Drosophila melanogaster: one gene and its partners. Changing the gene in region 4 together with the main gene of any one other region gives a genetic interaction. Each region holds a gene or a part of one and is shown on either strand. Other genes may lie near its edges.

What was found.
Region 1: of Timp (region 4) and gbb, changing one suppresses a phenotype caused by changing the other (phenotypic suppression), as found in Drosophila melanogaster (one study listed by BioGRID).
Region 2: of Timp (region 4) and Sox21a, changing one suppresses a phenotype caused by changing the other (phenotypic suppression), as found in Drosophila melanogaster (one study listed by BioGRID).
Region 3: of Timp (region 4) and sds22, changing one suppresses a phenotype caused by changing the other (phenotypic suppression), as found in Drosophila melanogaster (one study listed by BioGRID).

Annotation. Positions count from the first base shown.
Region 1 is NT_033778.4:23,848,470-23,855,983, reverse strand, and holds gbb (glass bottom boat), read right to left. Parts: upstream 4,423-7,514; 5' UTR 4,230-4,422; coding exon 2,862-4,229; 3' UTR 2,737-2,861; downstream 1-2,736. Other genes in the region: bgcn (benign gonial cell neoplasm), read left to right, coding at 113-466, 526-1,491, 1,553-2,234, 2,290-2,425; eIF6 (eukaryotic translation initiation factor 6), read left to right, coding at 5,912-6,649; ytr (yantar), read left to right, coding at 5,172-5,413, 7,185-7,514. UniProt on the Drosophila melanogaster protein: Required for the growth of imaginal tissues and for patterning of the adult wing.
Region 2 is NT_037436.4:14,100,680-14,110,787, forward strand, and holds Sox21a (Sox21a), read right to left. Parts: upstream 7,440-10,108; 5' UTR 7,129-7,439; intron 6,480-7,128; 5' UTR 6,396-6,479; coding exon 5,863-6,395; intron 4,209-5,862; coding exon 3,575-4,208; coding exon of another isoform or gene 3,518-3,574; 3' UTR 2,802-3,517; downstream 1-2,801.
Region 3 is NT_033777.3:17,387,844-17,394,792, forward strand, and holds sds22 (sds22), read left to right. Parts: upstream 1-3,750; 5' UTR 3,751-3,864; intron 3,865-3,913; exon of another isoform or gene 3,914-3,937; 5' UTR 3,938-4,085; coding exon 4,086-5,066; 3' UTR 5,067-5,177; downstream 5,178-6,949. Other genes in the region: Brf RNA polymerase III subunit, read right to left, coding at 2,653-2,757, 2,817-3,185, 3,247-3,319; lute, read left to right, coding at 1-541, 600-1,137; CREG (cellular repressor of E1A-stimulated genes), read right to left, coding at 5,648-5,757, 5,830-5,911, 5,973-6,416.
Region 4 is NT_033777.3:10,208,089-10,216,004, forward strand, and holds the start of Timp (tissue inhibitor of metalloproteases), read right to left. Parts: upstream 4,920-7,916; 5' UTR 4,671-4,919; intron 1-4,670. Other genes in the region: Syn (synapsin), read left to right, coding at 6,884-7,101, 7,444-7,540. UniProt on the Drosophila melanogaster protein: Metalloproteinase inhibitor that acts on both matrix metalloproteinases Mmp1 and Mmp2 in vitro. Complexes with metalloproteinases and irreversibly inactivates them by binding to their catalytic zinc cofactor.

The DNA of each region.
Region 1 (7,514 bases), on a different chromosome or scaffold from region 4:
AGATTTAATAAATTAAACCCATTTGAAGCGAAACGCTCACAGGCTGCTCTTTATCATTAACCTCCATGTGGAAAGAATGAGAGAAAGTCTACTACCTTTTTCCTATTTTCAGGCAACATCCTCATCATTTTACCCACCTACTACCACATTGTCAAGCTGAACTACATGATCCTGAGCCACTGCCTCACTGGCAGCCTGCAGGAGTGCTCCATATTCCTGCTGTACGATAACATGAGGAATGACTACCTCCAGGCGTTGGTCAATGCCAGCGATGAGACGGTGAAGGTGGTTCTGGCCACGGATATTATCGAATCGCTCTGCCTGAAGGTGCCGTTCAAGTACCAAATAGACACCGCCTGCCGGCTGAACAATGTTTACGATACCACGAGCTGCAGCGGCGATGATCGCTTCGAATGGGTGGCCAAGGACGCTCTTCTGCGAAGGGAGCTAATCCTTCAGCCCAATAGTAAGTACATAGCTCGTCATACATTGTTAACACTAACTGATGCACTGCGTTTTCCGTAGAAGGGGATGTACAATGCTTCCGTCTGATAAGCAAGGAGGCCTACGAGGAGCTAAGCGAGACCAGTCAGCCAAGCCTGCAGACTATGCAACTGGACAAGATCTGCCTGGCGGTGAAACTACTCTCACCCAATACGATTATAAGCGAATATCTGGGTATTACCATCTCACCGCCACCGCTGATCAACGTGCACCATGCCGTGCAGTTCCTCAAGAAAATAGATGTGCTCGATGACGCCGAGGATGTGACCTGGCTGGGCTGCCGCCTGATGGACATCCCGGTCTCCTGTCAACTCGGCCGCATGCTGATCTTCGGCATCCTGCTGCGCTGCCTGGATCCAATACTCACGATTGTCAGCTCTCTGTCGACGGCGGACCCGTTGGGCATTCCGTTTACCGAGGACATCGACAACTTGTGGGACAGGTTCACCATCTACATCCAGAACAGCATCAAGAAAGAGCGGACCTACCTGTCCGACAATCAGTTTTCCGATCACTTCATCTTCGTGCGCTTGTACAAGGAGTGGCAAAACCGAATGCACAACAGGACGCCGCCGCTATACCTTAAGGATGAGTATGAATTCATGCTGAATGGCCTGATGGAGCAACTCACCTCCATTCGTTCCGAGATCGTGAGCTCCTTGCGGGCAGCCAATTTGATTCACAGCCGAGGTAAGCTGTCGATGAACAATCTCAACCAGATGTCCTGCAATTGGCACATGGTTAAGGCGGCCCTCACGGGCGGAATGTATCCCAACATCTATGCCGTGGACACTAGAAAGAGTTCGCTAAAGTCGGCCTTCTCCGGGAACGTTTCCATGCATCCGAACACCGTGCTCCGCGATTTCTTGGAGCCACTGAATATTTCGGCACAGAGCTTCCGCACACCGTGGATTGTGTGCAACAGGCAGAAGAGCCACATTGTTTACGCCACCCTGGTCGTTCCTCTGGCTGTTGCCATGTTCTCGGGTAAGCTCGAATGAATTTCATGTTATATCATTCTGGTTATCATTCATTTTGTATTAATTAGGACATCCACGGATTCGCCTCTCCCCGATCTGCGACAGTGAAATGAGTTTGACCGATCGCAACGTGAACGTCTTTATAGACGAATGGATCTGGATGGTTATGTCCAAGGCTACGGCGGAGATGGTGATGCGCACGCGGTATTACTTCTTTAAAATGTACCACGACTTGCTGAAGCACTGCAGCGAGCTGGACATGTGGCGCCGAGACTGCGAGCCAGTTTCCCAATACACCGTGCTGACTGATACGCTATCGAAGATCTTCGAGAGTGAGGATGGATTCGTGGGCTTCTTCAAGCCTCCGCCCATAACCTTTCTACCGACGCCCCAGCTGCCATCCTTGTACCTCCTGTCCGTTAACGCCCACTTCAGTTGGGCCCGGGAAGTGGAGGAGAACATGCTGTCGAAACCACACCATTTCAATTCGCACTTCATCGAGAGGCAGTTCTTCGTGCTCTACGCAGGCGGCGACTGCGAGGAGTTCCACAGCAGGAACACGCCAGCCTTTATTGAAAGTGTCCTCGGCAAGTTTGTCAGACCCATCGACACGCCCAACCGGCACATCTTTGTGATCCTGTATAGAAAGGATCCCGATATGATGCTCAGCATTAGTCGAGCCAAATTCGTCAATGGTGTATTTATGTTGCAGGAATACTTCCGAAACAACATTCCGGTGTTTGAAATCTTGTAAGTGCAATCCAAGTTGCGGAGAATACTCCAGTCTAATGTGCTCTCCTTTCAGAGATGCGTGTGTGTCGTTGAATGTGCAGACACCGGTGTTTGATGGCCGCCTGATGTCGGCGCTAATTGACAAGCGTGTCGGCAACTTGATTATGGAATTGTTTGCCTTCCGCCACCACTGGATTCACAAGCGATAAAGCCCGCTTCCTCGCGCATATTGCCTGCTTCCCTACTAATTGAGTCCTAAAATAATTAAGAATGATCCAAAGAAGCGTGCCGAAGTCCAAATAGGACTTGATTGTGCCTTTTATTGCTGTGAAATGACTGTTAATTTTAAATGAGAGCTAACCAGAATCAAAATACGTACTTTTAGTACCACATTGCGTCTATCATCGTTGTTTTGAAATATTTGAAATTTGTGCATCCCAATCATGAGTAGATGTGAGACAATAAAGAAGAAGTATCTTTTAATACTAGCCACAAATGAAACTCCTCAAGAGACGAACTTCAGTTAGGTACAGCGCTGTATATTTTTGTATAAAAATATTCGAGATTAGTACAGAGATGGACATCTACACAGAAATGCTTTATATATATAGTGCTATAGTGCTTAGCCTAAGTGGTAAATTGAATTCAATGGCACCCGCAGGATTTCACAATCATGTTTCTATACTTTTTCAGGTTCACATTCTCGTCGTTCAGGTGGTACAGAACGGGTAGTGCTCCCAGCCTGGTCGGAGCGCAGCAGGGCTTGGGCACCTTCTTCGGCTCCAGCAGGTGGACCAGGGTCTGGACGATCGCATGGTTCGTGGCGTTCATGTGCGCATTGAGCGGGAAATTGCACTCGCCGCTGCAGTAGAAGGCGCCATAGCCCTCTGGTGCGATGATCCAGTCATGCCAGCCCAGATCCTTGAAGTCTATGTACAGGGTCTGCATCTGGCAGCTGCGCGTGCTCTCCATCGGTTCCAGCAGCGGCACGTTGTTGGGCGACACCGACTTCTTGCGCTTGCGTGGATGGCTGGCGCTTCGCTTGCTCCTGTGGTGGCTGCTGTGGGCCGTCGCCTTGATCAGCTCCGGTCCGCGGAAGAAGCCGATCATGAAGGGCTGGAACTCGTCGTCCACCTTGCGGTGGATCAGTCCAATGTCGTCCAGCTTCACCTCGCGGTCGGGTCGGTTGACAGCGTGTGCTCCAATGTAGATGCCATGATTGTCCTTCGACTTGACCAGCCACTCGTGCAGGCCCTCGGTCACGTTGAGCTCCAACCAGCCCACGTAGTCCCCGGTGGTGTTCACCGAGGACAGCGGCTCCATGGTGTGCTGGCCCAGCGTGCCGGTGCCAATGGCGTATACCGTGATGGTGAACTCCCTGTTGGCGGTCAGCCACTTGCCCTCGTTGGCGTTCTGATAGATGCGCAGCTCGGCCATCACCAGGTAGTTGTCGTTGGGCACGTTGGAGACGTCGAACCACAGGCGACGGCCGTGCTCGTGACGCAGTTCGTCCACATTGTGGTGGCGCTTGTTCAGGAAGGTCATGATGATGTCGCTCTCGTCGATGGCCCGCTTGTCCAGGTCGGTGATGAAGTTCTTCTGCTGCTCGCCCTCATCCTCCTCGAGGTCGGCGCTCCTCCTGGACCGATGGCCGCGTTCGTAGTCGTCGTCCTCATCCTGATCGCTGAGACCCTCCTCCGCCGTGATGCGGTGGTAGACGTCCAGCAGGAACTTGGGAGCCGACTTCCTCAGCGACAACTGGTGGCTGCTCAGGTGCGTCGGCCGTTCGGCGATGCCCAGGAACTCGAGGATCTCGTACGAGACGTCCAGCTTGTCGTCCTCGCTCAGCACTCTGTGCATGATCGTCTGGTCCTTGCCGTTGTCTATGTAAATCCCCGACTGGGTGGCCTCAACGGCCGGCGGCGTGGTCGCCACGAACATGAGCAGAACCATTCCGAGTCCCAGGGAGGCGAGCACTGCAACGGCCTCCGAGGTGTTTCGCAGTCCCGACATTATTTCGTGTTTTGGACGGATCGGTTGCGATCGCTGTTTTTCTATATCTACGGCGCTATCCACTTGCGATAGCTTCAGATGTACAGTGGCATTTAGTTGTTTATTTCGAGAGTTCCAGCGAACCGCGGGTTCTGAAAATTCTGACGCACTTACGGATTGTTGTGTGTATCTTAATCTTCAAGATGCATTTTCTTTCTATTTCGCGGGAGTTGGCAGTCCCGCGACTTGGAAAATGAATCGGTCTTGAAGATCGAACTAGAAGATCCAACATAGTAGTTCATTTCAGCTGCGATCGTGAGCAAATATGTGGTTTAATAGCTTCAAAAAAAAAAAGAAGAAACTGTGTAAATGTAGAAAATATAACGTTTATATTGGCAAAGTTCGTAATATTTTGATATTTTAAACTATTTATGGAAGTGGTATTGACGAAAGATTTGTAATTATGAATTTGTTAAATTTATCATAGTCCGGGCATAATTTGAAATATAATATAGGTAATGCTATTAAAAAATATTAATTAATATATATACATAGTTCATATTCAAAAGGAAACAGATCGATTTAAACATTCGGTATGCGATATACATAGGATACATTTTTATCGAAGATAAAATCGACCATCAATCGATATCCGATAGGTGGCCATGTTTTGCCCTTGCATCGCATCCCTCGCATCATCATCCGCATTCTGCATTCCTCATTCCGTTTCGGCGTCGCGGCGAGATAACGCGCGTTGTTTATTTGGTTTTAGTTTTAAGTTAGCGCGTTTTTACCCACCGCCGGTGTCGCCCAAATAATGCTAGACACAGCCTAGTGCAACGGTAAGCGGGATGCGTGCGGTGCAATTGGAGTACATGGAGTCTAACATCCGCTCAAATCCACTGCAGGCAAACCATCATCAATCACTCAAACCGCCACACAAGCAGAGACCGAAACGGAGCCATGGGCCGCAGCCGAAGTCCCGCCTCGCCGGCGCACAGGAGACGCGAGAAGGAGCGATCCGAGCGGAAGAAGCGCAGGGAGCGCCGTTCCCGGGAGCGGGAGGCCATCGGAGTAGCGCCAGCCGGAGGATCCGGATCTGGAGGCGCCGGTCGCCGCGACCGGGAACGGGATCGCGACCGCAGTCGCAGCCGAGATCGGGAGCGGGAACGGGAGCGCGACCGTGCGCGGAGTCGGCGATCTAGGTGAATAAGAAAGTGTAGTGTACCAAATGCCAACCACGATAAGTATAAAACTAGTCACTAAAATCGGGGATGTGGGTCACAGTTCAGGGGCGTGCTGGATAACCGTGAAATGGGGTTTAAATAGCAACCAATATTTATAAGTTTAGGATAAGCTTAGGGAGTGTTTGTGTAGATTTAGGAACACATTCCAACACAGGGGACAATTGACCCCTCAAACCCCCGAAATCGCCGTTCAGAACTTGTTTATTTACCCACGAGTATCGATAGACCCACACTTCGATAGGCAGCCAATCGATGGCTATGCAGCTCTGGCGTCCCAACATCAAAAAAAAATTACCACGTGAAGCGAAATTGTGCGAATTTCATCACGACATTTAAATTGATTTCCGGACATATAAACAGAATCCAGAACTCATCCGGCAGCAGGCTCAGTCAGGCCAGTAAATCCGAAAAGAGAGTAACCAGCAGGAAAAGAGGATCCACGTAAATACAGAGAAAATGGCTCTACGCGTCCAATTCGAGAACAACGACGACATCGGCGTCTTCACTAAACTAACCAACACATACTGCCTGGTGGCCATCGGTGGATCCGAGACCTTCTACAGCGCCTTCGAGGCGGAGCTGGGCGACACCATCCCGGTGGTGCATGCGAATGTGGGCGGCTGCCGGATCATCGGCCGCCTCACCGTGGGCAACCGCAACGGCCTGCTGGTGCCCAACTCCACCACCGACGAGGAGCTGCAACACCTGCGTAACAGCCTGCCAGACGCCGTGAAGATTTATCGTGTGGAGGAGCGCCTGTCCGCGCTGGGCAACGTTATCGCCTGCAATGATTATGTGGCCCTGGTGCACCCGGATCTGGACAAGGAGACCGAGGAGATCATCGCGGACGTGCTCAAAGTAGAGGTCTTCCGCCAGACCATTGCCGACAACTCACTGGTGGGCTCTTACGCCGTGCTGAGCAACCAGGGCGGCATGGTGCATCCCAAGACGAGCATTCAGGACCAGGACGAACTGTCGTCCCTGCTGCAGGTTCCCCTCGTGGCCGGAACAGTGAACCGGGGCAGCGAAGTACTCGCCGCCGGCATGGTCGTCAACGACTGGCTCTCCTTCGTGGGCATGAACACCACGGCCACAGAGATCTCCGTGATCGAGAGCGTCTTCAAGCTTAACCAGGCACAGCCCGCCACAGTGACGACCAAGCTGCGTGCGGCCCTCATCGAGGACATGTCCTAAGCGAAACTTTCCCCACTTTCTACTTGATATAAGGATTATCTGTTATCTTCTACATTTCATTTAAGAAATACAAAACACGAAACTAAAACAAAGTCTGGGAGCTGCAAGCATCAATTAGCTATTTTCCAATGGAAGTTTTTGAGATATAAGCTAGAGGAATAGAGGAATATTGTCTGTTAGGTATATAAATGGATTCAGAATGGATTTTAGAGGGATCTTGAGCTTGATTTTAAATCTTAGAATGAAATTCTCTAGCATATGCATATACAAGCCGGTTATTTTGGGTCTTCAGATGATTGCCAAAATCGAGACGTAAATATGGTCTTTAATGAAGCCAACCGACCGGTTGAGAAGTGTCGCATTTCGCGTAATTAAAACTTCATATTGCACAATCGGGTGCACAACGCCCAAGGTCGCCCCAGTTATTTCCCAGGCTCGTTGCAATTCGAATGCAATCAACTGGTCGGTCCTGTCACTCAAACGAAATCTATAGAACACTCACCACTCACTATGCACACACATTCATAATTTGCAGATCGCGGTCGAGGGTCGCCGGAGGAGGAGGAGGAGGAGGCGGCGGCGGAAGCAGCGGCGGCAACAGCAGCTCCGGACCATCGACGTCGCGAAGGACGACGAGGAACAATGCGGCGGCCACAGCTGCCGACCGGCCCAAGATCAACGAGGCGGACCTGGAGGGTAAATCGCCGGAAGAGGTCGAGATGCTGAAGACAATGGGATTCTGCACGTTCGACACCACCAAGAACAGGAAGGTCGAGGGCAACGATGTCGGAGAAGTGCATGTAATCCTCAAGCGAAAGTACCGCCAGTACATGAATCGCAAGGGTGGCTTCAACCGGCCGCTCGA
Region 2 (10,108 bases), on a different chromosome or scaffold from region 4:
CGGATATCCCGTCGACGAGCTGTGGGCGTGATAAACCACATCCTCCCCTTTGCCATCCAGCCACACCCACTTTCTAGGCTGCTAATTTGCTTGGCGTTGTTTTTTTTTTTTTTATGTCTCAACTTTGGCTTGGCGTCTTAATCTTATATCCTTTTCGCGTTTTCCTTCTTTTCGGCTGGCTTGGCATTAAAAAAATATTGTGCGTCCTTTGTTGGGCTGATAAAACTGCTTACAAATGCTTAAAAAATTAAAATTTATTACATGCGATTATGTTGGTTGCCGAGGCCTGGCGACCTTTTGCCATGAAATAGCCTAGAAAATGCAAATGGAATGTCATCACTTTGGCGGTTCAACATATTTCCGGGCATAACTTTTTTCTGTGGACATTGGCCAATTGATTCATGGCCACACAATATCCTTTGCGTAATGGTCTTTCTGGGCCACCTTAAACAGTCAGCAGTCACCAGTCAGCAAAATGAAATGAAATGGAATGGAATGAAAGAAAAAGTACAGCAAATAAATATAAATATAGTAATAATGAAGCATTGGGCCAAAAACGAAGAAGAAAAGCCAAAGTCTGCTGCCAAAAGAAAATATTTCTTTTTATCACAACGGATGTGAGTGTGCCAGGACTGAAATAGCAATGGATGGAGAAGGGACAGGAACGGAGGTGGAGTCGGGTTGTGGAAGTGGCGATAGAGTCCTTGGGCTGGGGTTACCTTCGCCAGCATCCTGCCAAATAAAACAAAAAATTCCCCGACTTGAATAGTGTGAGTACTAGTACTTGGTTCGCTTGAATGGCAAAAGAATGGGAATCCCAGTCGCTATTTTATCAGTGCACTAATAAAAATAAATCGTAGTTCCATGTCACAAAAAGCAAAAGTTGCATGTAAACTAGTTTTATGGCTTTAAATTAGATCGAAAACTGTATATAAAGAAAATAACTCAAGAACATTCAGTTGATATGTATATACGTGGATATGAAAATCCCGAGAATGTGACATACATTTCTTTTCGGTGTACTTTTGTCACCACGACTCTAGGACTTCCCGAACTCGCTGCCCACCCACTTCCTCCGCACAAAGCAAATCAAACAAACTTTTATTTCACACGATTTTCGCTCTGCTATTTTTCTCCCCCACTGACTCGCTTTCAATGTTTTTATTTGTCTTGAAACAAGTGAGTATAGCGAACTGATGCTGATGCTGATGCTGATGATCGGGGTCGAAGGTGAGGGGTCGCACGTGCAGCGCGTGTCTGTTAGTTTTGATAGTCAGTTGACTTCGCTTGTGGATGCCACCCAAGCAAGTGACCCGTTAAATTTTTGTGATAATTGCTATATTCGAGTGCCGAGTTCTCGGTAAATAGCTTTGAGATACTTTCATCAAGGGGTTGCAGTTTTGAATAAAATAAAATATTTTTAAATTAAATGTCTATATATCAGTTAGAAAATGAACGGTCTGTCCCAGTCCAATTGCAATGGGCAATTGCAATGCAGCCTCGATAATTGATTGTTTGTTAATAATTATGTCGAATTTTTTGGCAATATGCAGTATGCTTTTAGGGACAACCTCAATTTGGATTCAATTACTACTTCGTAAGCCCTAAAATATCTTGGCAATTTGTAAGTTCCCACAGTCGAATCAACTCATAGATTGCTCTCTTGGGGGTGGCTCTTCTTGCCCACCCAATTTCATTGGGCAAATATTGTTGTAGCATTTCATAGACTTTTGCACAAGTGATTTTCGTTGAGAATGGAAGCGGATGCCAGGTCCTTTGTCTGTGTTTAGGTGAGGTCAAAATGCAAACATTAAATGCTTATTCAAGTTCGAGTCTCCGACTGTCACTGTGAATAGGGCCAGGACACTATAAAAACGACCTTGCGGGCAACAAAAGGCACACCACAATGTCTGTGTGATTGTGAAAATGGGCAGACAGTCAACACTCAAAAAAAATTGCATAAACTTTCAAGAAAGCATAAAAACTTTTTAAACATGCCTAACTTATCATCTTAAAATGTTTTTTTTTAAACTGCATCAGAATTTAAGCTGCATTTTGAATACATTTTTTGGCAAGGATCTAGTTAGCGGAATTTCTCATATCTTATCCCAAATATTGAATTGGGTCAGGTTTTTGTTTGAGTGAAACTTTGGGGAGCAGTAGATTGGTGTGTGGGGCAAGGAGGCTGAGTTGGGTGCGGCATCCTTGGTATTTGGCACTCCTTATCAGCACTTTCGTTGCGTTGCAGCGTGGCATTTGTGCGACTTTTATGGGCGGCTTTTCAGCTGGTTACGATGCTGTCGCGATTGCCCTGTACCGCCAAGCTGTCTATATTCCACCCAACCCACCCAGAGAAAAGTCCAATAATAGTGGTGGTTGCTGCTTTGTTTTGTGCAGTGCCTCAGACAAAAAAGTGCCAATTGTTTTTGGGCCGAGAGTTATTGACACGCCTCGACGGTGAGCGCTTCACAGTTGGCCGCTTAAACAAGTGGGCGTGAAGGAATCCCATTAAGGACGATCGCCACCCTTCCGAAACGGCAGACAATCCTGGCCATCGTCATCCATTCATCCCCGCGGCGTGTCGGCAATTTAAACTAATAATCAACGCATCAGCAAACATTGTCGTTATATTCACAGAAGCCTGTGGCGTTTGGCGGTGACTCCTTACAGATTGCAAGCTATGATTTTCACTCACATGCAAACCAGGTCTCTATAGGGTTCTTCAATCCTAAAACTATTGTTACAATTTTGCCATAAATCCCAATGCCATGCTTTATTCAAGTACACTGTTTAAAAATCGTGGAATTTCACACTATTTTTAATTCGATTTCTGCTCTTTCATTTATCACATTAAAGTATAGTTTTACAATCATATATTACATAAAAGTGGACATGTTCTCGATGCCTTAACAAATCTAATGTACTTTAGATCTAATAAGCCATTTGTTTGGGTTCCAGAAATTGATAACAAAGATTGTGAAATCCTTAAATTAGGTATGAATAAAACCATTTAAAATGTGTTTTAAGCTGATTCAAAGCTGATTAATTCAAAGATTTATCGAAAGAATTGAGTTATTCATATAACAACATATCAATAAAAATATTAAGTGCAGTTTAAGTAATATGTACGAATTCAAATGATGTTGTGAATTTTAATAAAATGTCAAAAAATATATATAAAATATATATATATAAATTATAAGAGACTACTAAGTGTTATTTCTTAGCTAAGATTTTTTAAAATTTCTTTGATTTAAAATGTCTATTGCTTTTCGAGGCCGGACTTAACTTCATTATTTGTCAAAAAATGTCAGTAAATTGAGATTTTGAATGTAGTTTTAAAATTAATCATCTAAAATAGTGAAGCAGCACTAAATCAGAACCAAAAACATAATTATAGTAGCAACTAAAGACGTGCATTAATATTCGTCTAACACTAGGCTCTAACATTAGGACTTTTAACTTTTGGAGAGGAATGGTAAAGTTTACCATCCAAATTCCCTCTGTGGTGCTCATCCTAGACCACGTGTTCCGCGGATGAGGAGGTGCCGGCGCCGAAGCGCAATGGAGTCGGTCAAATGATGTTTGGCGGACTGGCCGCGCTGGCCACTACCGCATTTGGTGAGGACTTCTCTGACTTGACGCATCCGTAGGATGAGATGCCGGTACCGCTGCTGCTGGGCGGGGAGGGTGGAGTTTCCGGACTTATCAGCGGCAGATATCGCCACGGGTGGTAGATGGAGCCGGCGTACATCGCCTGGAGGCGCGCCTGTAGGTCCAGGGCCAACGTGGGATCCAGTGGATAGTGGGCGAGGCCGGGAAAGGCATTCGGCAGGCGGGGCAGCGATAACTCCAGTGGCGAACCAAAACCGTACTTGGCGCTCAAGGTGGCGGCGGCCAGCTGGACATGATGTGGATGAGGATGCGGGTGGTGTGGATGCGATTGATATGGTGACTGGTGCGGATGTCCGTGGAGATGTGGCAGCGACTGACCCAAGGGCGACAACTGGGGCTGCATATCCTTGGGGGAGCCAACTGATCCTGGGCCACTGGGACCGGAGTTACCCGCACCACCAGCGTTGACACCACCGTTGGCACCACCTCCACCGCCGCCACCACCACCACCTGGCACCGGTGACTTGTTGAGCGTCTTGGGCTTGCGACGTGGTCGATACTTGTAGTCGGGATGTTCTTTCATGTGCAGAGCCCTGTAAATTAAATAAATGTTGAAACACTGATCAAAAGATCGAACGATTTAAGCTTTGATGATATCATAAAGTCAGCCATCTCTGGTCGTAAACCCCAAGAGAAGCGGAACCCTTCCATAAACCCCACGCCAGGCAGATACAAAATGCACAAGTTTATATTGTGTATTTAGCGAAGAACCAGCACTCCGATTCCAACTTCGATTCTCTTTCCGATTTCCCAGCTGCAACAATGCGCAATTGTTGACATTTGTTTGACATAACGATAAAACCTGATAAAAGGTGTGTTTGGGTCGCCTCCTCTTGTTTTACTTTCGCTTTTCTTTATTTTGTTTTCCTTTCTTTGGTCAGTTATGGCCTCCTTATCGCGGGTCCCGAAAAAAAATATTGTTTTCCTTATCATCGCGCATTGGCAAATATTTGATCAGAATTTTTGGTTCTTTTCATTCGATATGCTCGCTCGAAAACCCCGAATGGCCATTAGTTTAAGCCCCTTCTGACGAGCCCTGATCATTTATAAATGTCATAAAATGTAAGTAAAATTTAACATTTCCATTTTGGCAGGCCAATCCAATCAATAAAAGGATTATGACAGTGCAAACACAGAGGTTCGTCATCATAAAAGACCGCACTATCTAGGAAGGCATAGAAAAAACGAACTTGTGAGATACGGCATTTCTGGGAATTCCTGTGGTTTAAAAGTGCACTGCAAATTTTGATTCCATTTATACCAATACAACTTATTTAAAAGCTAGTTTTATAAAAAATAAAATAATGTGAGATATCACTTTTGTACTTATTTGTAAAATGCTCGCTTTTGAGTATATTTCTTGTACAAAGAACTCCATTCTAGCGGTATTTTCAGTTAATCCCGATAATTACGTTTATTAAAACTAAGCTCAAACTGAAATTACTCAAACCCTTTCGAAAGGGTACACTGAATGGGTTAAGCACACAAAAAGAAGCAAAATGCAAAATGAATGGAGCATTTCATGCGACGTGTTGCCTCGCTTTTGTGTGACAACTTCAATTGAAATGTTTACCCAAGATATGGCAGTGCCAATGAAATTCTGACTAAGCAGAGCGGACACAATCCCCGACTCCAGAGCTCCGCAATTCAGCAGGAGCTCCTCACAATAGGTAGCCTTTGTCTTAGCTAATCGATCAAATTTTGTGGCCAGACGGCATCTAGTGAGAATGAGCTACCAACTGGGAAAATGGTAACCGAAACCAAGCCAGAATTTCCCATCCAACCTACACCACTCTGCTCCTGCATAAGCCGGCACAGAAAAAAAATGTATATCGTGTGGACTGAATAAAATTGAATAAACAAAGTAATTCTTATATCCAAGAATAGAAAGCGGAGGTAACTACAAAAAATACAAGAACTATGTTTTTCCTAGTTTAAATTAATATAGGATTACTGCAATATGATAATCTGTGATTTTTAACATCAATGGGATCCATATCTTTTTATTTTTTTTAAATATAACTTCGCCCTAATAAACCCTATTAATAATAGACTTGGAAAATTAACTTTTGAATTGAAAGGTAAGGACTTTTCCAGGTAAGAAAATACTCTTATTTCTGTTTACAAATTTAGTACATACATATTTTCTCAGTGCTTTTTAACCAGACCCCAGTGAACAATACTTACCGCAATCGTTTTGCCTCGTCGATGAATGGACGCTTCTGTCCTTCGGTGAGTAATTTCCACTCGGCGCCCAGGCGTTTTGATATTTCAGAATTGTGCATTTTTGGATTGTCCTGGGCCATTTTGCGACGCTGCCCCCGCGACCAGACCATGAAAGCGTTCATTGGTCGCTTAATGTGGTCGTGGCTGTTGTGATGGCTTCCAGTATTCGAATTCGAGTGGCTGGTCGGGGCATTATGGTGGGAGTTGCCATGGTGGTGCGTGTGCTGGTGCATTTTGGGTGCCACCGGAGTGGGGGCCGCTGGCGGAACGGCGAGGTCAGCTGGCGGCATCGGTGGTGGGGTGGTGTTTCCCGATCCAGAGCCTACTCCCACACTCATACCCATGCCCAAGCCACCGACCATGCCCAAACCCAAATTGATGCCGGGCAACTGCGGTGAGAGACTGCTGCTATGGCTGTGATTGCTACTCCCGCTGCTCGTGTAACCATTGCTGTGGCTGTGGCTCCGATGGAGCAGGGCCGAGATGCTCGTCATGATGCCGGGCGCGGAGTCAAGGGACTCCAATGGGGGTGCAGGTGGTAATTATCAGGTGGTAGTGCTGCAGCTGCTCCTCGAGCTCTGAAATGCCAACGGAAATGGTATTCAATAGATATGCCTTGTTAGCTTGGGGACTCTGTCTGCTGCTCCCTGCATGAGTCATTTGATTGGAGCTCTTCGCACTGCGAATAGCTTACCAAAAATATGCACAATGGAACTCCATTTACCCCTTCTAATGTGTGTGTACAGGGGGCTCAAAATGGTGTCCCGGTTTTATGACAAACCAATTTAAATATTTACCAGTAATTCAAATCAGTTTTCAGTATTGAGTATTTGCAAAATTGGGGATTTCCCTTAAATTAATATTATCCAAAATATATTCCTTGAAGAACGTATATTTGCATATTAACAGTACTGCCAAATTCGATTTCAAATGATGAATTAATTAAAGATTGGATTGGAAAATGATATATTTTTTAAAACAGGCTTTTCTAACATTGAAAATTGCAAATATTCATAAAATTCATTATATATTTCATATCCTTATAAATCTTTTGGTTTCTTTTTTAAGAAAATATATTTGTTCGCTTATTTCGCTTTTTTAAAGTGTTTAGTTTTTGGGGAGGAGTGTGCAATAGTTTAATTTAGAGCACAGCTTTTTCTTCATTTCATATTTAAATATTCGAATTGTTTACCTAGGGACCTTTTCTCATCATCATAATTAGCTTACCTGTATTAATTGTCTTTTAATTTCTCCCTAATAAAGTTTAAATTTGGATTCCATCCGATGCGTGACACTTAACTATCTAATTAATTGCACAAGAGTTTACGTTGCGATCGAGTTCTTTTTGTTTATTAATATTACTAGGTTAATTATTGTTGATCGCCATTAGAACTCCTAAAAATACACAAGTGCACTGATATGAATTTTTAACTTATTTTCCAAACAGTTCGAGATTTATAGAGCCTCGAATTTACGAACGTTGAAAGTATTTAAACCGTTAGACTGCCGATTCACCGTTAGCCGAGCGCAGCGCGTCCGTTTCGAGTGCGCGACAATTTAGATTTGAAAACACATTCGAAAACTTGCGACAAAAACGGCAAACAAACGCAACAAAAAGGGGCAAGAGGAAGAACGTGGGTGTTTGTAAGTATGAGGGTGTCTCTGTAGTGGTTGGTCGCTGCTGCGTCGCTGCCGCCCAAAAGGACCGAGTGGGAGCGAGACAAGGCGAGAGATAGTGCAAGGGAGAAGGGTCGCGCAAGTAAGAGAGAGAGAGAGAGAGAGAGAGCGCGCACATTTTGTAGAGTTTTTTACACCTTCGGAGGACGCGTCAACGTGGCGGCTAAGTGATAAAAATTCGCTGCTGCTGCTTTGTATCTTTGTATCTGCGTTTTGTATCTTATTGACAATAGTCTCCGGGTTTGTTTTCGTTTTGTGTGCACGTTTGCATTCTTGTTTACCAAACATTGCTCCTTTTGCTCTTCGCCAGTTGATGATATCTGCATTTTTTATCAAAACCGTAACACAAAAATAATTTTGAAAATTTGAATAGCCCAATAACATATTTCATATTAAGCTACCAATATCAATTTTTATTGTAAATATAAATAGTTTTCTTTGAAAAATTCAAGAAAATTCCGGCTAGTTCTGAGAATTTCGCTGCTATATTTATTTACAAAATATTAAATCATAAATTGGTACGTTTATAAAACACTTTATTATTCAGTTCTGTTTTTCTTCTATGCATTTGTGATCCAAATAAAAGGCATAGTTAAACTACTTTATAGCTCTTCTTAACTATGGAATGAGAACCCATTTTTAAGATGTCAAAAAAATGCCTTGATTAGTTTATTTAAATGGAATACAAAACGGAGTGGCAACAATCAATCGAATGAAAAATACACTTTAGCTTTTGAATCTTATACTACAATTAACCAAATATTGGATACTTACTTATATGCATGGTCTACACTATATGGTTATGGCACTATAATTTCTTACTGTGTATTAGACCGGTGTTTGCTCTCACAATCGATCGGTGGCTTATTTGGTATGTTTGCTGCAAGCTTCGGTATCCGCAAGATTGGCCCTTTTTGTTGGCAGGGTTGGGCCGCTTATTTCAATTGCTCTCCTTGTTTGTCACACACAGGAAATTCTCAATTCTTGTTGTTGCTGTACCAATAACGATTTCTGTATAATTGCAACGATTAGAAGCCCTTGATCCCTTAATAGTACCACCTTTATACATTTGCTAAAATTTCTTATAAATGCCGCTCTTTATAATTGACGGTTTCAATGTTCCGCCAACGGAGCTTCTCCCTTGACGAATACTAAGAAATTAGACAATTTTCCCGGTGTTTACAGTGTAATGTCAATAGAAAAGTGTGTAATATGCTAGGTATAGTACATCCGGAACAATAATTTCCCGATCACAATTAATTTTAATTAAATATGCTTTTGCAATAATATTTAACGATTATTGGGACTATTAGCAACATTTCCACAGTATATACTAAATCTTCAAATTAATTTGACCTAGAAAGTAACAAAAACAACATTTTAAAGATAAATGAATCGTCGCAGTGCTTTTTATTTTAAATTTTTTTTTTAATTTTATTGCGTTCCTTGAAAAGGTTAAGGAATAAAGCAATTAAGGATTTTTGCTCTGCATTCCTTGGCATTTTTAAAAAACAACTGTTGGCGCCATAAAAAGATATCTTCCTAAGGGGTTGTTTTGCGCAAGCGTCGCTCTTCAAATGGTCGTAACTTTTGTAGAGTTTCTGCCCTCTACTCCCCGACTTACCCCTCTTTTCGCCCCTCTCCCATATCCTTCTTCACCAAAACAAATGCTAAGTAGGAAACGCATTTGGCGGGTTCCCCCCTTCACCATCGCACAACAATAAAAATGGCAGCGCTCTAGAAATGTGTGTGTGTGTGTGTGTGAGCTGCCCCAAACCTCAACCCCCCACTTAAATCACCCCCAACGCCCACTGCCACCCCTCCTCGCACCCCTGCAACTGCGCGCATGTCGATTTCAGACACTGTGGACCAATGGCGTAGACAATGCTACGGGAAGTGGAGTTTGGGGAATGGGGCTGCTGCTTAGAAGCGTTCTCAATGGTGACGCGTTTTTTATCGCTTTTTGTTTTGCATGCGAATTGAATGCATTTTATTGGCCAAAAGCCAGAACAGACGGACCCAAAACAAAGGCGCCAGCAACTGGTGGTCCTTGGCTAGAACATGCCTGAGTATTTGCTTTATCTACCGCTGGCAGAGGAGCAGGATATTCGGCACGGAGACCTCGACATTCCGTTATTTGTTCCCTCTTAATGGACATTATGGCTGGCCCTATTATGCGGTCATCTCCCAGGACAATGGAGCACAGAAATTAGAAATCATAGTTGACGGTAGCGAAGAAATTTGAGTAATAGGGTACTCATATAAATTAAATCACTCCTAGAGCCTCTTCGTATTAAGATGCTTTGAATGTTATAAGAGTATATTAATATTAATATTTGAAAATTTCGCTAGACTAGGTAAATTTGATAACATTCTCAAAATGGGATATTGGTTTTGTAATGGCCAAAAATGGCTAGACTGTCAACACTGTTTATTTAACACATCCTTTTCGTTGTCCCCACTGCAGTCATAATTTTGGTCGCTTTTTTACATGACCCACAGCAGCATTGTTTGCTGCGCTTAGTTGCAA
Region 3 (6,949 bases), 7.2 Mb from region 4:
ACGCCTGCCTACTTCTCAGTCAATCGCGTCTGTTCGAGGAGCCCGAGCTGATGCAACGTTGCTGGGAAGTGATCGACGCCCAGGCCGAGATGGCGGTTAAGTCCGAGGACTTTGTGGATATTGATCTCAAGACCTTTGAGTCAATTCTTTCGCGAGAGACACTCAACTGCAAGGAGATACACTTGTTCGAGGCGGCCCTTAACTGGGCAATGAACGCCTGCGAGAAGATGAGCATCGATGACACGCCGCAGAACAAGCGCCGGCTGCTGGGACAAGCGCTGCACCTCATCCGCATTCCCACAATGTCGCTGGAGGAGTTCGCTAACGGCGTGGCCCAGACAGGCATTCTTTCGTCGCAGGAGACGATCGACATGTTCCTGCACTTCACTGCCAAGATGAAGCCCTCCCTGGGCTTTCCCACACGCTCCAGGGCGGGATTAAAGACCCAGGTCTGCCATCGCTTCCAGTCGTGCGCCTATCGCTCGAACCAGTGGCGCTACCGCGGGCGCTGTGATTCAATTCAGTTTTCTGTTGATCGAAGGTAAGTTCTATCTAACAAATGGTTATTGGATTAAGGTAATTAAAACTGAAAATTTCAGAATTTTCATTGTGGGTTTTGGACTGTACGGCTCGTCGACTGGTGCTGCCAACTACAACGTAAAGATCGAACTTAAACGCCTGGGCCGCACGCTTGCAGAGAACGACACCAAGTTCTTCTCGGACGGATCAAGCAACACGTTCCACGTCTTCTTCGAGAATCCCATCCAGATCGAGCCCGAGTGTTATTATACCGCCTCCGTAATTCTCGATGGAAACGAGCTTAGCTTCTTTGGCCAGGAGGGCATGTCCGAGGTGCTAATGGGCAATGTGACATTCCAGTTCCAGTGCTCGTCGGAGAGCACCAACGGCACCGGAGTTCAGGGCGGCCAAATCCCAGAGTTAATCTTCTACGGACCCACCACAGTGACAGCAATGAGCTCGCCCACCAATTCACTGTGTCCCACGCCAATTGGTGGCAGTTCCTCCAATGCAGGAGCGACTTCAACCGCAGCAGCCGGAACAGCTGTTCCGAATAGCAGCAATGGATCTGGCAATAACGCCAACAGTTCTGGGGAGGATGGCGACGGAAGCACCTGATGCGCACAGCTCTATTGCGCCGAGTGGCAGGGAGCCTGTTACTACCGCCAACAGCAGCAGCAACAGAGGAGACCAACACAACAATACAAAACACAGCAACCGCAAAAGATACAGATACAAAATCGAAACTCATGGGTTTTCAGTGCAGCACAAGAAAGTAAATTGGAGTTTTAGGCTCATATATATATATATATATATATATATATACCAAGATAGTAGAGTACTCTAGTTTTCATAATAGTCCTATATATAAACATATATATACACGTCAAAGCATAGACACATATATATACACCTCGGCAGTGCGTTTTAAAACTCCAAGACGATTGTCAGTACGTGATCATCTCAAAAAAAAAAGTCAGCCGATGCAAGTCAATCGATATAGGAAATTTGCTATAATTGGAAAGTTTCCTTCGATATCCCAAGTATGTTAAGCAAGTGAAATCAATGGTTTTGCAGTTCTAAAACGCACTGCACATAGTCTGTTGGTAATGCATATAAAGATATTTTCAAAATCGAAAAAGTTGATCATATACACTCTTAACTTTATAGATAAAGATTAGTAGTTGACTCGAAAACTTAATACGTTCCACGACTTAAGAGGGCGGGATGGGGTCATATGGACGCTAATAGAGACGCATAGATACATGCAATAAGTGAAAATCGGGCAATCAGTCAAGCTAGCGTTAACCAATATTCTAAAGACAGTTAAAGGGAGAGTGGACAAAAGCTAATACGATATATACCAAACATATTTTTGCCAGCATATACCTAACATATACACACATCTGATCTGATAATGATAAACTATAGTCCTAAACACTTCGAGGGAGAATAGGCCATGTTAATAGTTGCATACGACGAATTTGAAACCCAAGTTAACCAGTTAACGAAATAGCAAACAAAAATGAAATCAAGGGATCTTGTACGAGATGCGCACAAAATCCCCCCTACATATATATTCAAATATTAATCTTGTAGTACGCATTATATCTATTTCGTAGTTGTTCCATTATATCTCTCATACATACACAATATGCCTTTCTACTGATACTAAGCCCCGTACTTCTCCTGTGCATTATTATAGCCTGCTGAGCGCAACAATCAGTTTTACGTTTGTATTTCGGATTTCTTTGGAAATTGTACTGATTTTTTGCTTTTGATAAGACAATTATGGTTTTTATATACATATATCTATATAAAATGTTATCCTGTATTGATTATGAATCTATTACCATTATGTACTTTAATCAAACAAAATACATTATTAGATTTTTGCGAATTTACTTTCTCAGAGTTGAAGATTTTGGATATTTTGACATCACGTAAGTAGTGCATAAAGAAAACAGGAACGAGTAGAGTATTGTTAAATACCTGATAAAAGGAAAGCAAGCAAATCTAACAAACCCAACAAAATATTTTTAAAAAAACAAAAATTAAGAGTGGAGCTATGGCTTGACTTGACTGTGGATTGGGATTTAGGTGTATAGTTTAGTATTCACAACGTTCACTCACCCAGAGAAGGTATGTTGATACAAAGGGCATGCGATAACTTTAAGTAGGTACGACCAAGCTCATAGGAACAGATTTGCTGTACGTCGCTGATGTCGATGAGGAGATCTGTGAAGATATGAGCAGTCAATAAGCTACTCTTTAGGCAAAATGAATGCACTACTCACGGGAGGTGCCCTCTGTCCTGCAGGTCATGTACACGCAAGCGGCGTAGATGTGGGTGCTCTTCCTACCGCGGGTCAGATGCCTACCCAATGCCATCTTGAAGAAATTCAGAGCAGTATCTGCATAGTGCTGGGATAGCTGCAGCTGCTGGCAGAGTAGTGTGATGTCCTTCTTGGCCTTTTTGATGGTCACCTCGCGGGATTCGGTGCCCGATCCCACCTGAAACTTGCCGTAGCCATAGTTGGTGGCACCGCCCGACGACTCGGCGGACACAAACTGGCCAATTGCGGCTGCTCCATGGCCAACTTCCTCGAACTGCACTTCGGAAACAATGAGGGAATCCTCCAATACCGAGCCGCAGTTCATGCAAACTACAGTGAATGGGTGAACGTCGTTAGTGTCATGGATATGGGTCCTTGGATGTCATTATACCTCGATCTCCGCGAGCATTGTCTTCCTCGATCTCGTTGGATCCGCAATTGCGACATTTTAGGCCCGTAGACATGATTGTTTGTTCTTTGCTTTAATAAACACTGCCACCTGCAACGCTTCGTTTTTATCCGTTGTTTTGACAGTTTAAACTACTTGTTTGCTGTCATTTGAAAGCCATTTTCGAGTCTTTTTTAAACAATTTGCAATTTGTTGCCAATTGAATCAACACGCTTGGAAAACATCTGATTGAACCCCGCCGGCGTTGCTTAACACTGATGATAGAAGAAGAAATGCTAGAGATGCGCATTTCTCAATCAAGAACGACATTGGCACAACTGCTTGAAAAACTTAAAAGAGATATTAAAATTGTAAAAATTACGTAAAGCTGGTTCCAAAAATTATGTTCTAGTTTATTTGGCAAATTATCAATCAATATTTGTTTTTCATTTACATTGGAATATATAATAATACAGGTTTAGCATCGTGTTCTTAGGTGCACATCTCTAGTAGAAATAGTGTTAAAGTGCCGGTAAGGTGACTAAGTATTTTGTTGACATATTGAACAAGTTGGACCAAAAGGAGTATACAGTCATCTTGGACTTAACTTATAAATATTAAGTAAATATTTTAATACATATTTATTTTAAATTTACATATTTATATTTACCGTGTGTTCTTGCTTTTGTAACAGTGTCAAGCTTTGACGTCATATTTAAAGAAAGTCACCCCACTTTGTTCCACCCTGAGCAGCGGAATAAACAACAAGTCAAGTCAGCGTTCAATTTTCGAAAGTCAACTTGAATTAAAAAAAAAGAAAAGCCGGTCAAAATATATCAGTCATGGGCGATGCTGATCGTGCGATGAACGAACCAGAAGCCGCGAAAACTGTGTCCGGAATCCAGGTGATTCCCGCCGAGGATGTGGCTTCCATTGAGGATATAATCACAATCGATCCGGACTGCTACGAGCTTGATCTGAATCATCGCCGGATCGAGAAGCTGGAGAACTTCGAGCCGCTGACTCGAATCGAGCGCCTGTTTCTGCGCTGGAATCTGATCAAGAAAATCGAGAACTTGTCCAGCCTGAAAACACTGATTGAGCTGGAGCTGTATGACAACCAGATCACCAAGATTGAGAATTTGGACGACTTGCCCCACCTGGAGGTGCTGGACATTAGCTTCAATCGTCTGACGAAGATAGAGAACCTTGACAAGCTGGTCAAGCTGGAGAAGGTCTACTTTGTGTCGAACCGGATAACCCAAATCGAGAACCTGGACATGCTCACCAATCTGACCATGCTAGAGCTGGGGGATAACAAACTGAAGAAGATCGAAAACATCGAAATGCTCGTGAATCTACGACAGCTCTTCCTGGGCAAAAATAAGATAGCAAAGATCGAGAACTTGGACACATTGGTCAATTTGGAGATACTCAGTCTACAGGCCAATCGCATTGTAAAAATCGAGAACCTTGAAAAGCTTGCCAACCTCCGCGAACTCTACGTTTCGGAAAACGGAGTGGAAACCATTGAAAACCTCTCGGAGAACACCAAATTGGAGACCCTCGACTTGGCCAAGAACCGGTTGAAGGGCATTGCCAATCTGGAAAAGCTGGAACTGCTCGAGGAGCTGTGGCTGAACCACAACGGAGTCGATGACTGGAAGGACATTGAGCTGTTGAAGGTGAACAAGGCGCTGCAGACCATCTACCTGGAGTACAATCCGCTGGCCAAGGATGTTCGCTACCGCTCCAAACTGCGCGACATACTGCCGCAGCTGCAGAAGATTGATGCCACCCTGTGCAAGGTGCCCGGTACCTAGATGGAACCACTGTAAACCCCTTGAAAGACTAATCCACGGCGTTGCGCCACTACATTTATATCGATTAACTTTGAAAAACTGCGTTTAAAATATACATACAAATTAACCACTAATGGTTCTATCTACGAATTGGTGGGTGCAGTGATTTAGTTTGCTTTCAGAAGAAGGTATATTTGGATAAGTTACTCAAAGCGTGAAGTTTACCTAATGAGTCAGATAAATTATCCATCTAGGCTACCGCCTAACATATAAAACTAAAAAGTATTTTATATATACACATAAATAATGTAAATTGAATCTAAAAAGATGAAAACATTTTAGTTAAACAATTCTGGTTTCTCTTAAACCAAAACAATACATTTCAGTATGTCAGAGTACATTCAACGGAATGTATTTTTATTTATATCAAAGTTATTGTTCTATCGATTGAAATCACAGAGCTCAACTGATAAGTGGCTTTCATAAAGGCCTTTGTCTTCATTCTTTCCCTTTGTGGCAGACATGTTGTGCAAATATGCTTATCATTTCATTTTTTGACAAAGTATATGAGGCGTCAGTTGGATTGCTTTTGGAGGAGTTCATCAATTCGAAACAGCGTAATAGTCAGAGGCGCTCACTTTATGAGGACCTCCATAGAAGTCCAGAACAAAGATATTGCTAATTTCCAGTTCGCAAAGGTAGAAATTGTGAGCTGTAAAAGAAACAACGTATTTATTATTAGTACATACATATCGAGCTCTTAATGAGGTTCGCTTTCACCAACCTTTTACCCAATTGATGGCAGCTGGATGACGCCTCACATAGGCATCCAGCGATGGCTGATAGCTTTTGTCGCTAGGATCCATCTTCAAATGAGCCAAAACATTCTTAATCCATTTTAAATAGGATTTAATTCATTTTTCATACCTTCTTCACCTGTCCACTGATCATGGAACGGGCACATGTAGGCTCCATGGGATCCTTTCCGCCCTCCTTGCATCTTAGGGTCTGCTCGTCACTGAACAGGAGTGTGACCTTGTTGTCCTTCTGCCAGTCGGGACCAGTGAAGTCCAAATCGGTTAGCAGGAATCGAATACGTCCAGTGGACCTGTTATTAGCATCGCTGTCGTCGATGGAGATAATGTTGACCATGGGATACCCCTTCACCCGTTCGTTGGTGGAGAGACTTCCCACAGCCGCCCAATTGGCGCGATGGACCAAATCTCTGGCGATCTTGGCGTGATTTAACTCTTGCTCTCGCTTATATTCTCTAATTATACGCTCATCTTTCCGGCGGGAGTAACCGGAAGAGGGGTCCAGGCTCACGAGGGCCAAAATCAGGGCGAATAGTAGGGAGTGAAAGGTTTTCATGGCTAGACTGCAAGTATAACGATGCGGTTCTGAAAGATCACTGAACACTGGACAGCTGACGGGTCAGCATTTATGGACAGGGAATTCGCAATGACTGGCTTATCTTCCGGTCATCGTAATCGCGTATAATCCGCACTTTTAGTACTCTCTCTGATTCACGATGTAGGCCGTAAACAAAGCGGACTACGGATAGCGTTGACCTTTTACGCCTCTTTCATTTTCTCTGTGCGCCGCATTCTGCCAGTAATGCCCATATATATATGTATTTATGCCTACCTGGAGGATCTGGACTAATGGCCCCTGTCGGTACTTCTGCTTTGCGATTTGTTTGTCAACTGACTGGGCTACTATTGCGCCTTTATTATCACCTGCTTCGAGTACAAAGAACCACAACCAGCTGTTTTCAGCAGGTACCTCGGATGCGGTGGGGTGTATGTGACGCATATGTTCGTGCATTTTTCTCAGTTCTTCTCAGTCTCTCAAAAATCCATTAGTGTCTTTTATTACAAGATGATTTTAAATGCGCCCCATTA
Region 4 (7,916 bases):
ATCTTTACCCAAAAGGCTCAGCCATTTGGCATTATGCAAATTTTATGATTAACACTTTCCCATAGAAAGGTAGACAGAAAACAGAATCCAGACAGATTTCCCAGGTGAATGCAAAGGGATTTGCTAAGGTCAGACATGGAAAAGGCCAAGGCTCGGTGATGATGATAAAAAAAATGGGGGAAAAGTGGACAGAAAGGTTTTCCTGCTACCAAACTAAAGCGCTTTCGGTTTAGCTCTCCTTTTTTTGGGTGGTTTGTTTAGTTGGTTGAAGACTGCTCGCCGAAATGGCTGAACAACCCAAAGCCACATAATTAATGCGATTTTGGTTTGCGTTCCGTGCTTTCTTTGCAAATTTGTGTTGGCCAGTGTGCTATGTAGTTGCCCGTTGAGAGGTTTGGTTTATGAGCACTTAATTGGGGCCATTAATACCGGCTAATGCCTAAGTGAAGTGTGTGGACCCACAAAAGAATTGACAGCCAGAGGCACTTCACATAGCATCGAACAAAACACTAAATGCATCGACATAAAAACGTATTTATAGCTTTCGGATATTTCGACTACATTGCCCAGCATAGTCCCCACATTTACGATGCTTAAAATTTTGCGCCTCCAAAAAAGGCATATCAAATTGTGGCTGCTTCGATCATTTTGCGGGAATTGATTTATGGTTTCTTGGTCTATAAAGTAGCGGAATAAAAAGTATAACTTATTTTTTATGGTGTTAAAAATTGGTTTTATCTACAAATGATTCAGTATTGTTGCAGTAGGTCATCAGATCATTTCGACATGCTAATCAACTTATTCTATTGCAATTTGTCACATTACTATGACACGGATACATAATTCTAAGTAAATATGACACTTCTAATGAGGTAATGAAATATAAGTTTAGTGAGTACCCAAACTTCGAATCGAATGTCACCGTTATCGACTGGATTTTTCAGCGGTCATTTACTTTTGGATATTGCTCTTTGCGGCAATTCGCCTACATATTTGTTTTTTTTTTTATTGCTGTGCCAATTTGATTTTTACTTACTTAGATTTTCATTCCAACCCGATGATGTCATATCGTCGCAGAAGATATTCAACTTATCAGAATCCGGGATAAATTTTAATTGGAGCAAGCAAATATTAGCCATTGCAACTGAGATGACAACTCGCAAGTGGGCAAAACCATGCACATCGACTTTTTCATTACCGACTTTTGCAGTCCAGTGAATTTCCGCCAACTTCCCATAACGATGCTGAAAAACTTTCTTTGGCCGGAGGCATTCGGTTGACTGGCTTTTCCTTTGTCGGCGATGCCTTCACAACAATGGGGGAAAATTAAGGGGGAAATATCAAAGTCACGATCGGGCAATAGGCAATGCCATAATCAGCATGATCAATGCGGCCCAAACAAAAGGGGGTTATGGTATGCCCATTTGATTAATGCCACTGCTTGATCCCTGACCCGGAATGGTTTTCCTGCCCGGAATGGCCAAATAATGTGGCTTCAAGTTGGCTAAAGATAATGATACCAGCTATTGGCATTTACATGCACTCAACAAACACCTGAACCAGTGGCACGTACATGCATAATTAACATCGGTATTGAAATCCCAATCCGAGGTGATAAGAACTGGTAAAGTGTTGTCTCGACCGACTAATTGAATCGCCAGCGTATTGGATGCAGTGGCTCGATGGTTGACAGCTCCATTCAGGTGTGACGAAACCTTGTCTGGCAGACAACTATGCTCGGAATGTCGGAATTTTTATTGCCTTGCGCCTCATTAACCCATGCACAAGTATGCCGGCGAAATCTGACATCATTGCGCCGAAAATAAGACTTCTCTCATTTTGCCACTCAACTGCATCAGTCGATCAAGAAAACAAACAGAAAATGCAAGCCCAAATTCGTCACGTTTTTTTTTTGGGGATTTCATTTTGAGACGCGAAATTAAAGAGCGAAACAGTAACGCCACAAATTTCTCAACTTATAACACAAATTGTCTGGCGGCGTGGCAAAATCAACAAACATTTCACCCAGGATGCGTAACGAAAATTCAATTAAAAATGCTAATGTATCTGAAGAGGATGGTAGGTGAAGGGGGGGGGGGGAAGGGTTCCTACAAAATCGGAGACCCGAAGGTCTGGGGCCTGGACTCACATTGCATTGGCCGGACCATAAAAATATAAATCTTTAATGAGCGAAACCCATATAGCATGTGCATATATATAAGACCGCAAAGTAAACATATGCATATGCCGGAAAATACAATATTATGTATAATGTGGGTTCTGGCTCGGAAATACAATGGTGCGCACTGTGTGGTCTTGCATTTAGTTATCAAATTGCTGGAATTTGCATAAAAATCAATAAACTCTGCACAAATAACCCGGCTGGCAGTTCAATTAAATATTCAAGTGATTTTCTGTGACAATACCGAATCGGTTTTCGTCAACTTGGGTGATTTATCTCAGCCCAACAAGGCTCCATTTAAGACCCGGTTGACAGCTCTTGTTAAAGACATTGAGGGACATTGAGATAAAAGGAGCAGAAACGCAGCAGGGAAGCTGACAAATTGACGGCCCATGGCCCACACACAAATGGAGGAGCTCCGGGTTCCCAAAAAAACAAATTCATTGTCGATAAATTGCTGCCAGACCTGTGAAATTTACGCACATTCATGGGGGAGGCAGAAATTATTAATGGTGGCGAAAGACCAAAATACCAAACCAAAGTCTCTTTGTCGCGCTGTCTTATTTGTACAATAATATTTAATTGCAAGATTTGCACAAGAAAATTTATTAAAGGCAATGGGATGAGCAGAATGTGGGTGTGTCGGCATAAACAATCCAGATCCAATGTTTTCGTATCTGTATCGCCAACCGTATATGGCTTTCGGACTTTTTTGGGGATTTAAAAGCATTCGCCAAATATGGCAAATTGAATGATGTGCGAGGGAAAAGCCACATTCACAATCATCGATTATGACAATTTTATTTGCCCAGCTTTTGTGGTTTTTTATTGTTTGCGAATTGGATACAATGCGTAATCTTACATTACATTATATTGATCGTCGTTCTCGGAGTCGCTGAAATAGGCCTGATATTCATAATAAAGAAACATATCAATTTACAATGATTATTATCATGTGAAATGTTTAATATACGTTTTAAATGGTTCTAGTTTTATTATTCAAGGTAATTTATCTGACCATGATGAGTACAAACACTCTAGTATCTTTAGGACACATTTTTTTTTTATTTCAGTGTAGCCTACTAACCGGATTTTCTCTCCCTCAATAAGCAATTGCGGTTAAGATAATGTTAAGGTGCCATATGGCAATATGTGTCGTAAGAAAAGCAAACAATGCATTCAATTCAAAAATTAGCAGACTTTAGAAATTTAAATTCCATTCGATAATAAGTGTTATCTGATGGCAAAAAAAAAGAAAATAAAAGTCAACGTAGTATATAATATCCCAGAAAAGCTGAAAAGCCAATACGAAATACAAGCTCATTTAAATGGCGCACAAACAAAACGAAAAGCCAACAGTGAATCCAAAGTCAAATGAAGGAAAACGAAATTATGAATATCCATGCGAAACAATGCGAGTTGTCAAAAGAAAACTCAATGGAAAAGAAAGGGGAAAACCCACTTGAAATGCATTTCCCTGGAGAAGTCTTTACTCCCCTCCCTTGTGATGTGCTTGTACATTTTATTGGTGTTTTTTTTTTTTTTGTGAGAGTCGAGAAGCATTAAATGTTTTTCTTTATTTTTAGACACTAAATGGCCAATGCCAAAACACACATGACGTATGCGTAATATGGAAATACCTCTGGCGCACACAACCGTTTCGCTTTCCTTGACATCCAACAAAATTGTTACTTGTACATCACAGATTCAAATGGGCTTTACGATCAGACTGGATTGCACAAGCAAACTAGTTGTATATTTCTTAATGGCCTGCAGTTTGTTTACAAATTGGCGACAATAAAAACTATTAAGACAATTCGAAAGGCCAGAAGAAAACTCGGGGCGCTCCAAAAGATCAGGGAAGGCAGATGCACAGCTAGGCAAATAAAAACAAATTATAAATAAACGCCAATAAATAGAAATGAGCGTTTCGTTGGAAAACTGTGTCGCTGTGTCACGTCGGCACATTTCCCACTGCGCGTTTTAAATAGCCCCAAAATAAAATACACAACGCGTCTGTGTCGCGCGTTTTGCATACCTTCAATTTCAATTTCAATCTTCTAAATGCCAAACAACTCTAAAACTAAAACTAAAATAAAATAAAAACAAACATGGCTGTGTACTTTGGCTTTTGAGTTGCAACTTGTTTTTGAGGTGGAAATTTGCACCTCAGGGGAAAATGCATCAAAGAAGAGAAAAGTTTAAAAATCAATTGATAAGAGAAAATTAATTTTAAAATATTTCTAGCTAAAAACTCCACAAAAGCTATTTTGAATCTGCTCTTTGAGCTGAAACTTTTTTTTGCCTTTCAAACATATATGAAAATTCTGTTTGCGGAAAAATAAGCAAACCATTTTATTCCGGCTATTTAACTTCTGACACAACACTTGGCAATGCGGAAATTTTTAAAATAAATTAACACAATTAAGCATTCAAGTACTCAATTCTTAAATTACCAAAAATTAGCAAAATAAGCCTAGTTTGTTACCTTTAAGCTGCAACCTATTTTGTGTGTAAAACTAGCACTTCAGGCTTTTAAACACTTGAACCCGAGGGCACAAAAATCGGGAAAAACAATTGAATGTATTTTCACCGGCACTCGCACTCGCACTCGCACTCGATTCGACTCGTCAGCACTTTATACTACTTGGTACTATATATCTCGTACGATGTCGCGATTTTTCCGTCGCCGATTTTGTGGCGTTCTAGCTCGCTGCGCTTGCGGTTCTGCACTGGATCGTCAAGTCAACCGATTCGACTGTTTTCTTCACTCAAGTTGTTCGGGAAGTGAGAGATCGGATCGATCGATCGTTTGAGTCGAATCCACTCGTGTCTTTATAACTTGAGTGTTTCTTGCGGCAGTCGGGCGATCAAAAGCGCCATAAATTCGCCCCAAATGAGTGGAAAGTGGAGGAGAGTCGATTGCATTTTTCTTTGCGTTTATTTTGTTACCTTGGCAGCTTTATTAATTGCGTGCAGGGGCCTGGTTTATGCTCTCGGCCATATAATAGCATACAATATGCATAGTTGTAGTTACTTGGCGCCATGGCCAAAAAGAGATCGCCACACGAAACGGCAGAGAATAGCGCATCTGTCAGGCCGCAAATCAACTAATAATTCAGCTATGCCCAGTCGTAAACTCGCCAGAGATCCAACTTCCTCTTCCTCTGACCATGTGGCGCACACACGTGCTGTTGCTCCGGTCATGCTTCATATCATACTCCATGCTCCACCTACAGCACGTTGCCATAATCTGCATACCCGACCCGGTAACGCCACCGCACTACAGATCTACACGGCGAGAAACGGTTGGGGATACTTAACGTTGCACTACTGATGGCTTAAGAATATTATAATAATATTACAAAATTATAAGATTTAATATAATAGGGTTTTACAATTGTGATCAGTATAGTGGTCTGTGCCAATGTTGAAACTTATTTAAATCGTTTTCTTCCTGTGCACTTATACACCAGACACCACTGTCAATCGATGAACCCGCTTCAGGGCACTACGAATGCGTCACAGTGCATATTTTAAGTCCGCTGATATAACCGAGATGCAGTTCCCTAGACGGTGGGTACTCAGGCGGAACACGTAGCAGCTTCCAAGAATGCTGGCTATGTGGGGGTGTGACGTCTCATTCTGATAGTCACTCTTATTCTCGGTCCAGATACATCTCAGATACCTATATATATTTATGTTCATTGAGAGATTTCTCGCACTCTGTTTGTTTGGGGCTTTCTGTCAACAGGACGGTCTTTCATCGGCGGCAATTGCGACAATTCTTCGAGCTGCGTCATGGTTGTTATGGTTTTCCATTTGGTTTTATTTTGATTTATTCATTCTCTGCCAATGCAACACAAAATTAAGCCCATGTGTTTACTTGTGATTTATCAACTGTTTAAATATGGCTTTGGGTCTGGGAGAGATGATTAACAAGGGTAATCGGTTGGCGATTTGCATATATAAATGTAATAACCATGAGCAACGATGTAAAATTAATAAAATGCGAATTAGTCAAATATTTGAGGGCTGGGCATTGTTGCTGTTGCATATTTAATAGTGATTTGCATGCGCCATTAATAACTATAAGGTATTTTCATGAAATGTTCCTGCCTGACTAATGATCGAGGATTCTTGGAATTCGTCTGGCAAATCAAAAGAAAATTTCCATGGCCAGATTCGTGATCGGAATGAGGGCAAAAACAACCAATGAATTTGGCACTTATCCAATGGATTAATAAGCATCGCCCCTTGATTTCCGCAGAAAATAAAATGAGAAAAAATGGAAGTAAAGAGCTCATCGGTATATTGTAATTTATAGAATTTCAATCAGACAGTGAAAAACATATTGTGATTGCCTCGGTGTCTTTATTCCCAACACAAGAAGAAAGTGTTTTAAATATATACATTTTTTTTATTTAACTTAATGTACCATAAAGTATGTCAGTCATTAAAGCGAGGTCTATAAAACTTTTCTAAAAATGTTTAAAGGCTATTTATAAAATCTGAAACTATTCAATTTTTTGGATTAGTCAGATTAGTCCTAAAATTATTAATATTCACTTTGAGATTATGACATATTTATTTGGGATAATCACAATATATCGTGCTCGCCTCAATAGAAAACCATCATAAAAACATGGTTAAAAACTAAACTAACTAAATTATAAATTCTTTCTCTCCGTGCACTTGCAGTTCCAATTCACCAAGTTCCCAAGCGTGCTGAAGGCTGGACATTGCCATGGCGGAGTGGCCACCGCTCGCCTGGAGAACCAGAGCGCCCTGCAAGATGCCGCCGGATTGGTGAGCGGTGCTGGTAACGATTCCCATTGTTACTGCACCATCGAGCCCTATATCGATGCCAAGTTCAGCGTGCACATCCAGAAGATTGGCAACAACTACAAGGCGTTTATGTAAGTGACCGCAAACCGCAGGCGGCTGAAACTGAAAGCCAAAAGTTGATGCAGGAAGGGTCGAGTGGTCTGAGTATGTAGTCTGAATGGCCCGTATGGTCTGAATGGTCTGAATGGTCTGAATGGTCTGATTGTCTGACCTTGCAACTGTCAGCAGACAAAAGCCGTCGTCGTTTTGCAATTGGCAATTATCCTACCAAGTGCAGCGGCAAGAGTTCATTGTTTGCCATCCGAAATGCCCGTTGACGGGTTCAAAGATCCCTCGCCGACCTCCCAAACGCATTATCTACGCTTTTTTAGCCGCTTAATTTATTATACTTAACCGCTTTCGCTCTTTAACAGGCGCAAATCCATCACCGGCAATTGGAAGACCAATCAGGGATCCGCCATGCTGGAGCAAATCACTTTAACCGAGAAGTACAAAAGCTGGGTGGATGAGGTAAGCCAATGGATTAAAGCCATAAGAGACACTAAATCAAAGAGGCGAAATATGCTGGCCGATCAACCGACTTGCCTGTACTCTGAACTTTTCGAGAATTTTGACTAGATTTCACACATACAAATAAATCAAATAATTTTCAATATTAATACGTTTTTGAATTGCAATGAGAATTAAAAGTATATAAATATTATTACATAAAGCCTTCTAAAATATGGTTAGTGCCTAACTAAGTTTCTTTACAAAGCCCAAACATTTTTTCGCTCACATTACCGTTTGTGGCTCCAATTCTGAGAGGTCTAGTTATGAAAATCGCTTGGCAAGCAGCTTCAGCCGAGCTTAGCCCAGTTGAGTTTGGCTTGCATTTATCAAATTT